Linked DNA regions of Daphnia pulex. The protein of the gene in region 2 interacts with the protein of the main gene of each other region in a pairwise test. Links are inferred from orthologs where the notes say so. Each region holds a gene or a part of one and is shown on either strand. Other genes may lie near its edges. The genes, in order: partitioning defective 6 homolog gamma-like and atypical protein kinase C-like.

Region 1 (4,040 bases), on a different chromosome or scaffold from region 2:
GGAGAAAACGAGGAAAGAGTTCATCCGGTCGAAAGCTAAGGAGGTAATAATGTCATTGTTGTGCAATAGTTCCGTTTTAAATTTTTAAATGGTTTGCAGATTCTTGGCAGTGAATAAGGGCGCTTCAAAAATACTTCATTTATAAAGAAACAAGCTGTCATTTTATACGAGTATATTTTCGAAGTGAGTAAAGAATAATTTCTTAATGTTTTTAGTTTGTTCTCTCCACTTTCTTGAAGCACGGTGGTGCATATTGATAATACAATTTGAACTGGAGACAAGTTTTTTTTAACGTTGTATTTGTGCCGATGAATCGTGTAGATCGAGACTCATCGATTAGTCATTTTACTAATTACCATTGAAAGGCCGGTAAGTGTTGAAAAGGCACACATGTTTTTTTTTTCTTAACTATAAACCTAGGGGGAGGGGTGGACGGGATATAAACGCACGCATTGACCGATGTGGTTTGCGAACATTCAGGCAAAAAGAAGACAAATTGTTTTTTTTTATACACTTTCATTTTTTAAAAATAAGGACTCAAAAGGGAACGTTTTCATTTTCATATATGGATATTTGTGAACTTAAATCATAATGTTATAAGTGAAGGATGCCATCATCTTTCGCGTGGCTGGTCCTATCGCTGCCGCTGCTAGCACTGGTCTGCATAGTAAGATCCTTTATCTCATCTAAGTCGTCGGTTTCGTCTTCTTCATGGTCCTCGTCAGAATGAGAGTGAACCATTGACGCGATGGTCGAATACGACGTCATCGTGTCATTGTGTGAGGTTCTTGACAGCGTCAAAACACCTCGTTGATTGGCCGGTTTGACGGTGATGATCAAGTTTGCACTATTAGCCACCATCATGTCGGTTACTTGATCTAGTGATTTTCCGGCGACTTCAATACCGTTCACTTCCAGCACTTCGTCATTGACCGCCAAGAGACCAGTAGATTCGGCCAATCCGCCAGGAACCAATCTGTCAAAAATCACGGTCTGTCAATCACAACATAATAAAGATATATATAGATATAAAGTATAATCATACCTTGATATAAAAATTCCGGGGACTTTTTCTAGGCCATTAGGTGTGACACGTACCGAGGTACCGTCTCGAATATAAAATCCAAGAGGTCTTTCAGATCCATGTTTGAGCAGCCTAACTCGACGGCAGGAATCGGGCACTACATCTACATCAATAATAGCTGAAACCTGTTTTAACAGTGAATAATTCAGTTTAATGCCCAACCAAGCATGAAGCAAGATGCAACAACAAGAAAGGAGACTAGGAAACAACAACTGGAGACATAACGCCAACAACTAAGATTACGCAAGTTCAAGCAAGAAAACAAGGCGTTTAAGCTAATTACAAATCTACTTAATTAATGAAAATAAACAGATGGAATAATCAAACCAACTTGTCGAAATTCCTTTGGATACGATATGCTAATGTGTGGCCTAGTTTTGGGTGTTCCTAATATTGATGATATTAAATTCTTTTTAGAAGCATAGTGTTGATGTAATTCATCATCCTGTGATTCTCCTCTTCTCTGTATGTGGATTCTCAACAAAGGACGTGCTGCCTGCAAAGCTCTAGCAAAGTTGTCATCATTGTTGATGGGCAATAAATCCCCATCATTGGGGTCTGTATGATGAATGAGACAAATTACAAATCAGTCTTTGAATAAGTAGTATATGATGAAATTACAAACCTGTATAACTTATATAGAATGGTTCAATTTGTAAGCCATGTAGTTGTTCAAGCAACTTTCTGAAATCTTCATACTTTGGTAATACTTTTTTGTTTAGACTGAATCTTCTAAATTCAGCCACAAACTAGAATTAAAAGAATTTTAATATGAATAATCTTTGGTCATGACAGAAAATGAAACTTTACTTTGCTTTTCACTTCCACAAAGTTTGAGTTTGTTCTTGGTGGAGACATCTGAAGTTTCACTAGCTTTGACATCTGCGTTTGGGCCAAATTTAACAGTGAATAAGTATCCTATGTAGAAAACAAACAAAACGTTTCAATAGATTCATAGTTCTTTATGAATATCCACGCCCCAGTAAGCATCCGGTTACACCTCCAACACCGACAATTGCGTGAAATCATCGGTTGTTCACATTCTATATCCACTACAAGATGGAAAGGGATCTTGAGAATTCCGATTACCTGGATCGTCACTGATGGAATGGAGAAAAACGATTTAACTCATTTGAATGTTATAAAATGAATGAGCAATTTTCACGTTTCCTTGGTAGGCACCATACAATGAAAATTGACAGACATGACAGTTATTGAGGACGGTTACGAATTGGTGCAGCCCTCTAGAGGATAGAATGGAAAAATCTCGAATTTTACTGTTTTCATAAATTATAAGTTAAATATTTTTATTTTAAAGGTATTTTAAAATAGGAAAGTGAATGGATGAAATTCTCATTCTATAAGTGCTAAGTGGTTTTGATATTTTATTAGTTTACTAGTATATTGCAACAAGTTGGCAACATTTAAATGTATGTAAGCGGGAAATCGTCTGCTACAGCTTCTTGTTCAAGTTTTTCAGCGTGATGAAGGTTAACCTAACTTGGTAGACATTAGACAACTAGAACTAAAGATACCAAATAGACATATTTCAATAATTCGATTACAATTTCTTTTGCATAAAAGTGGGAATTATTCTTTACTCGATTACATTCGTAACCAAAATTGACCCTCAACCAGTTTAGAGTTTACAATGATAGTTCCATACACTTTTGTGAACTCCCTTCAAATTGTGTTAAACGTATGAAATCTTGAAAAGCTACGTGGAATCCTACGTGGACAGCGAAGTGAGAAAAATTCACTAGCTACATTGTACTTGTATCAGGATTTAAGAGATTTTCTAGCCAGATGGAAAAATACCTTCTTCCTCGTGCTAACAAACTCAAACTCAATTCAAGGTTAGTTAATTTCAATTGTATTTGTGAATAAAAATGTAATCATGAACTCTTAAATAGCATCAACAATACCTCTACAATTACATCTCAAAGTTTGTCAAAAACAAACAAGAAACATTCAGATGTCTGTGACATTAAATCACATGATGATTTTGATCAAGATTCCACCCCCATTGGTATCAAAGTATTTTGTCACTTGTCTATCTTTTATGTTATATTTACTACTTTATCATTTAGAGTCTAAATCCTCTTCAGCCAAGGAAGCAATTCAAGTGCCTTTCAAAAAAGAGCCCAATCGAGATAAAGGGAAAAGTTTAATAACTAAAAAAGCAGATTTTAGTATAGGAAACCTTGATGGAAAATTCTGGGGAGACTTTAATGATAAGGATGAAGATAATGATGTGGATGATTCGTGCGGTAATCCAGTATTTCATTTGCTCCAATACTAAAAAACCATAAAACTAAACTTTTTTTTATGAAACAAAAGATCATGCTTATAATAGTGTACTCAGCACTTCGCCTGTAGTTAAACCTAGAACATCAAGCAATTTAAAATCAGCCAAGGATAATATCAGCAAGAAAACATCAAATAAAGTCGAAGACATGAGCAAAGATTTGTTTGAAGACGAAGATTTCAATTTTGATGACGCTATTGATGTTAGCCATCTTGAAGATGATTATAAAGATAATTATAACAAAAATTCGGATCATGAGGTATGAATTAGCTTTCACGTCAGTTCGTGTCATTTATTTTACAGAATATTTTGAAATAGACTACTGATCTTGAACAATCGGTTGAAGTTATCGAAAGCCAACTACGAATTGTGTTGGATACAGAAGATTGGTTTGAAACTGCCAAAGAACAGGTAAACTCATTATTTCTAGTCAACGAGAAATTTGACAGCAAAATTATCGAATCTTCGTCGTTCGTTACAGGATGTCTCCAATGTTTCGGACGCATTAAGACGAGAAGTAGATACGAAAATTGTCAACCTCTTGGATGCTTTATACCCTCTGTCTGAAAGTTCTATATCAAATGACATGGCCGTTACTCTCTTAAATCAACTCGTGAAATTTAGGCGTAGTCTTCAAAATGCCCAAGT
Region 2 (4,355 bases):
GGGGAGGGGGAAAAAAACGAAAGAGAAGAAATGGTAGGCTGTTAGAATTTTTGCTGCCGTGAAACCTGCCAAACTTTCCCTATGAAACATGTGTGTGTGTGGTTCCAATTTTTAGTGTAAATCTTATAATGGCATGAAAGCGAATGCTTCGTTTTCTATTCTAATCCTAGACGCAGTCTTCCAATGACATGAGCAAAGGATTGACGTACTCGAAACCTTCAAACTCAGACTGATCGATGCGTTCAATGACCGTCCTGCAAAGCAACAAAAAATAAAACAAAAATAAAAATCGATTCTTAATCGACAGACGATCCATCACTTACTGATCGTCGGGTGTCAGTTGGACTGGTTCGTCTGTGAACTCGGGTGGAAAGTGAGCCAGATCACGGTCGGAATCTAGACGAGGCACGTAAGGTGGAGCCACTTGTTTCTTCTCCAACTGTGCACGTATGAAAAAAGATTAGTAATCTGTTCCTAGAATGTGGATTAAACGTGTAAAAGAGAGAGATGTTCATACCATTTCCCAGTCGACTGATTTAAAGAATGGATGATGGACGATATCGACAAAGCCCGTTTCTTTTCGACAACCCAAACGATCAGCTGGATTCTTATTAAGAAACCCTTTGAGGACAGAAGAAGCCTTCACAGATAACGACCTGGGAATGCGAATCGTCTTTTCCAGGATGACTGCAATATGAAAAGAAAAGAAAAAACACACAATGTTTTACAAACAACACATTTACAATCCTCTCAAGTGGAAAAAGGTCACGCGATCTTGATAAGACCCCGTTTTTCTTGCGAACTTTATCAAATGGACTCGCGAGTTTCCACAAAGCAAATATTATAATAAAGAAGACAAGATGAAGCTCTACCGTGAAACAGATAATCTTCAGTGTTTTGGTCAGGATTCTCTGAAGCGCCGACGATGTCGAAAGGTGAACGACCGGCCAACATTTCATACAACAATACACCCAGCGCCCACCAATCCACACTGATAAAAACGAAGAAAAAGGTTAGACATTTTCGCTACAGGGGAGTTAGCGTTCCAGATTCTATTGGGTTTAATTTGTAAACATTACCTGAAACTGTAGTCTTCTCCGCGCAGAATTTCAGGAGCGATATAGTTGGGCGTACCACAAAAGGTAGACGTGGTATCACCCGGACGGATGCCCTCTTTGCACATTCCGTAGTCGGTGAGTTTGATATGACCTTCATGGTCCAGTAGGACGTTATCTAGCTTCAGATCACGGTAAATAATTCCTTTCTCGTGTAGGAAATTGAGCGCCAAAGAAATTTCAGCCGAATAGAATCGAGCGTGCTCCTCAGGAAGTCGCCTTTGGCGCTGCATGTGGAACATTAAATCACCACCACGTACGAATTCGATGACAAAGAAAAGGCGTGACGTCGTCTGGAAACACGAATGCAAGCCAACCAAGAAAGGATGGTTGGATGCCGTCTCAAAGACATGTTTTTCCGTTTGAACCCAGTCAATATCCTGAAAGTCGAGTTGTTCAATTAGAAGAAGTTGTTGATAAAATCAAAGAATCAATTTTCTTATACCTCATCATCGGTAACAAGTTCCTTTTTGATTACTTTCATGGCGTAAACCCGACGAGTTCGTCGTAATTCAACCATCAACACTTTAGCATAAGAACCACGACCAATCACACGAATCAATTCAAAATCCGCCATCGAATACGGACGTTGAACAGCACCACCTTCGACACCTTCTTCTAATATTTTAAAGTATACAATTAAAAATCTGAATTGTTTTGTATGGAAATATAAAGTACCTGGACTTCCATCAACCGGAACACTCACACTGTGAGACTCAAAAATAGGTTGTACTATTGGCGGTGCGGACGGTGCTTCGGTACCATCACCATTCTGTCGCAGCGCTGTCGGGGGTTCTCCGGCATTAACAACAGGGCTTATAGATGGAATAGCAGCAGCGGTCACTGCGGACCCTGAACTGGTATTGAGCGCGCTATTTGACAGTAGATGAACCTGGGATGGAGTGTTCAGAGCGGCCACTTGCTCCGTGTTGCAACTGATCTTGATAAGCTTGTGGCACTTTTTGTGGATGAGCAGCTTGCACTGAATGCATTTGAATCCTTGCCGACCTAGACCCCAGATACGGTCGTGACAGTAAGCGCAAGAAGCTCTCTGTCATAAAAATGGAAAGTAAGGATTACTGGGAATCAATGGTGTTGCATGGATAAACTTACGCGATTGAAACGTTTTGCCTGGAAAAGATGTCCATTGACTCTGTACAGTTTCCGCCATCTACGAGCACCACGTCGATAAATACTTTTATCTTCTCCAAAACATGGAAGCCCTGGTGACACAGGGACACTAGGGAAAACTGAATTTTAAAAAGAGTAATTAAATTTCAAGTTTATACACAAGTAGAATTAAAAAATACCATGAATAGTGATTTCTGAATCGTTGTTCACTTCATACAGACGAATAGCTTCATCAATTTCAACTTGTGAAGAGATAGTACATGGATCACCTAAAGGGATGTAAATCATAGTAAAAGAAAACTGTGTGGATTGTATGTGTTGTACAACCTTCTTCGTCAATCCATTTCATGGTAAACTCTTGATCAGGAGAAAACTGGCAAATGGCTCGCATCTCATTTTGGAGATCATCCAACAGGATCTCAGAGTTTATGTAAGTCACGAGAATTTTCCTGCAAAATAACTAATGAGGTAAGTACATACAAAGATTGAAAAAAAAAACATGAAGTATACCCGCTGAAAGCTGCCTTGACTTTGATTTCGGCCTTTTCCCCATCACTCACGAGGGTGGTGGGCATCGTCATTTAAAACAACAGGTGGGTTGGGCACAAATTGGCCGTTTCCTCAAAATTACAAACAAGTCCTCACGGCAGCCGGACTATTGTAACCATTTGAGGCTATCACTGATTGTGAACCACGATTCCACTATAACTTCTTTAAACTTCTAACAGAAAACACTTTTAGTTTTAACCTAAAAATATGAGTCAGGCGGTTAATACTGGCAAAACTGACGTTTCGAGGATTAACCTTCTATGCAGCCGCCAGGAGGCGTTCTCCGAGATTGATCAAAACTTGATTGATTTTAAAGAAAAATCGTTTTTGTAATTGTTTTTTAAATATTCTCAGCTATTATTTAATGACCAACAACACTTCCGTCATTTAATATGTGGATTTATCTCGAATTCTAATTCGAATCCGCAACCGTTTTTTTATTTCCCAGCAGGCAGAGATTTTCATTGCTTAGCGCAACTTCGGATTCAGAACATACATTTCTGTTTGTCACCGCCACTCATTTTTCACCTCGCCCATTTTTTGGTTTTTCCTGGGAAAAAAGGCCGGAAATCCTTTTCAGTTCCATTTTATTATCTCAAAAGTTTGTCGTTTCTGTCCATTTTGAACAATGGTAAGTTAAAAATCGAATTTATTCATATTTTCGGCTAGTATTAAACCTCCAATTTCAGAGTGAAAATTTTATTTGACATTTGACTTGTCTAATAATATTTCTCTTGTTATTTGTTTCTGCAGACGGAGGAGCAATTGAACCGAGCGTTGGACTTAATGCGACGTCTCCCTCCTCAGCAAATTGAAAAAAACCTGAGTGACCTGATTGACCTAGTTCCTGAACTGTGTGAGGATCTTCTATCATCAGTGGATCAACCACTTAAAATTGCACGTGATAAGAGAGAAGGAAAAGATTATCTTCTCTGTGATTATAACCGTGATGGAGATTCTTATCGGTAACAGTATTTACAGTTGTGTTGAAAACTTGACCCTAATAATAACAAATGTTGATCTGTCAGTTCTCCATGGAGCAACACCTATGAACCACCTCTTGAAGATGGAACACTGCCCACGGACAGGCTACGTAGATTGGAAGTAGAGGCCAATGCTGCATTTGATCAATACCGTCAGATGTATTTTGAGGGTGGAGTCTCCTCTGTGTACCTATGGGACCTGGATCATGGATTTGCTGGAGTCATTCTTATAAAACGAGCTGGTGATGGCGCTCGAAATATTAAAGGGTGCTGGGATTCGATTCATGTCATTGAAGTGCAAGAAAAGTCTACCGGCCGTTCGGCTCACTATAAGCTTACGTCGACAGTCATGCTATGGCTGCAGACCAGTCGTCCCGGTTCCGGAACGATGAACCTTGGTGGAAGCTTAACGCGTCAGGTAATATTATTGTTTACTTTTATGACCATGAGATATTTCCCTTAAATTGAACCGATTTTTTCTCTCGTGTTAGATGGAGCAAGACGGAACAGTAAGCGAGCCTACGTCGCACATCGTAAACATGGGTCGTCTTGTCGAAGATATGGAGAACAAAATTAG

The links.
Region 1: the proteins of atypical protein kinase C-like (region 2) and partitioning defective 6 homolog gamma-like interact in a two-hybrid assay, tested with the Drosophila melanogaster proteins (2 studies listed by BioGRID). The link is inferred for Daphnia pulex from reciprocal best matches to the Drosophila melanogaster genes aPKC and par-6.

The regions. Positions count from the first base shown.
Region 1 is NC_060019.1:10,154,322-10,158,361, forward strand, and holds partitioning defective 6 homolog gamma-like, read right to left. Parts: upstream 2,447-4,040; 5' UTR 2,174-2,446; intron 2,003-2,173; 5' UTR 1,967-2,002; coding exon 1,895-1,966; intron 1,834-1,894; coding exon 1,710-1,833; intron 1,643-1,709; coding exon 1,416-1,642; intron 1,210-1,415; coding exon 1,046-1,209; intron 977-1,045; coding exon 595-976; 3' UTR 567-594; downstream 1-566. Other genes in the region: protein DEK-like, read left to right, coding at 1-43, 100-117; Bloom syndrome protein homolog, read left to right, coding at 2,891-2,940, 2,998-3,113, 3,175-3,354, 3,425-3,651, 3,711-3,803, 3,874-4,040.
Region 2 is NC_060022.1:4,026,703-4,031,057, reverse strand, and holds the start of atypical protein kinase C-like, read right to left. Parts: upstream 3,076-4,355; 5' UTR 2,828-3,075; coding exon 2,757-2,827; intron 2,696-2,756; coding exon 2,574-2,695; intron 2,516-2,573; coding exon 2,426-2,515; intron 2,366-2,425; coding exon 2,229-2,365; intron 2,167-2,228; coding exon 1,794-2,166; intron 1,734-1,793; coding exon 1,561-1,733; intron 1,496-1,560; coding exon 1,080-1,495; intron 992-1,079; coding exon 873-991; intron 688-872; coding exon 518-687; intron 440-517; coding exon 324-439; intron 255-323; coding exon 167-254; 3' UTR 1-166. Other genes in the region: F-actin-capping protein subunit beta-like, read left to right, coding at 3,424-3,426, 3,549-3,760, 3,824-4,196, 4,270-4,355. UniProt on the Drosophila melanogaster protein: Serine/threonine protein kinase which is required for apico-basal cell polarity in the germ line as well as in epithelial and neural precursor cells, for epithelial planar cell polarity and for cell proliferation.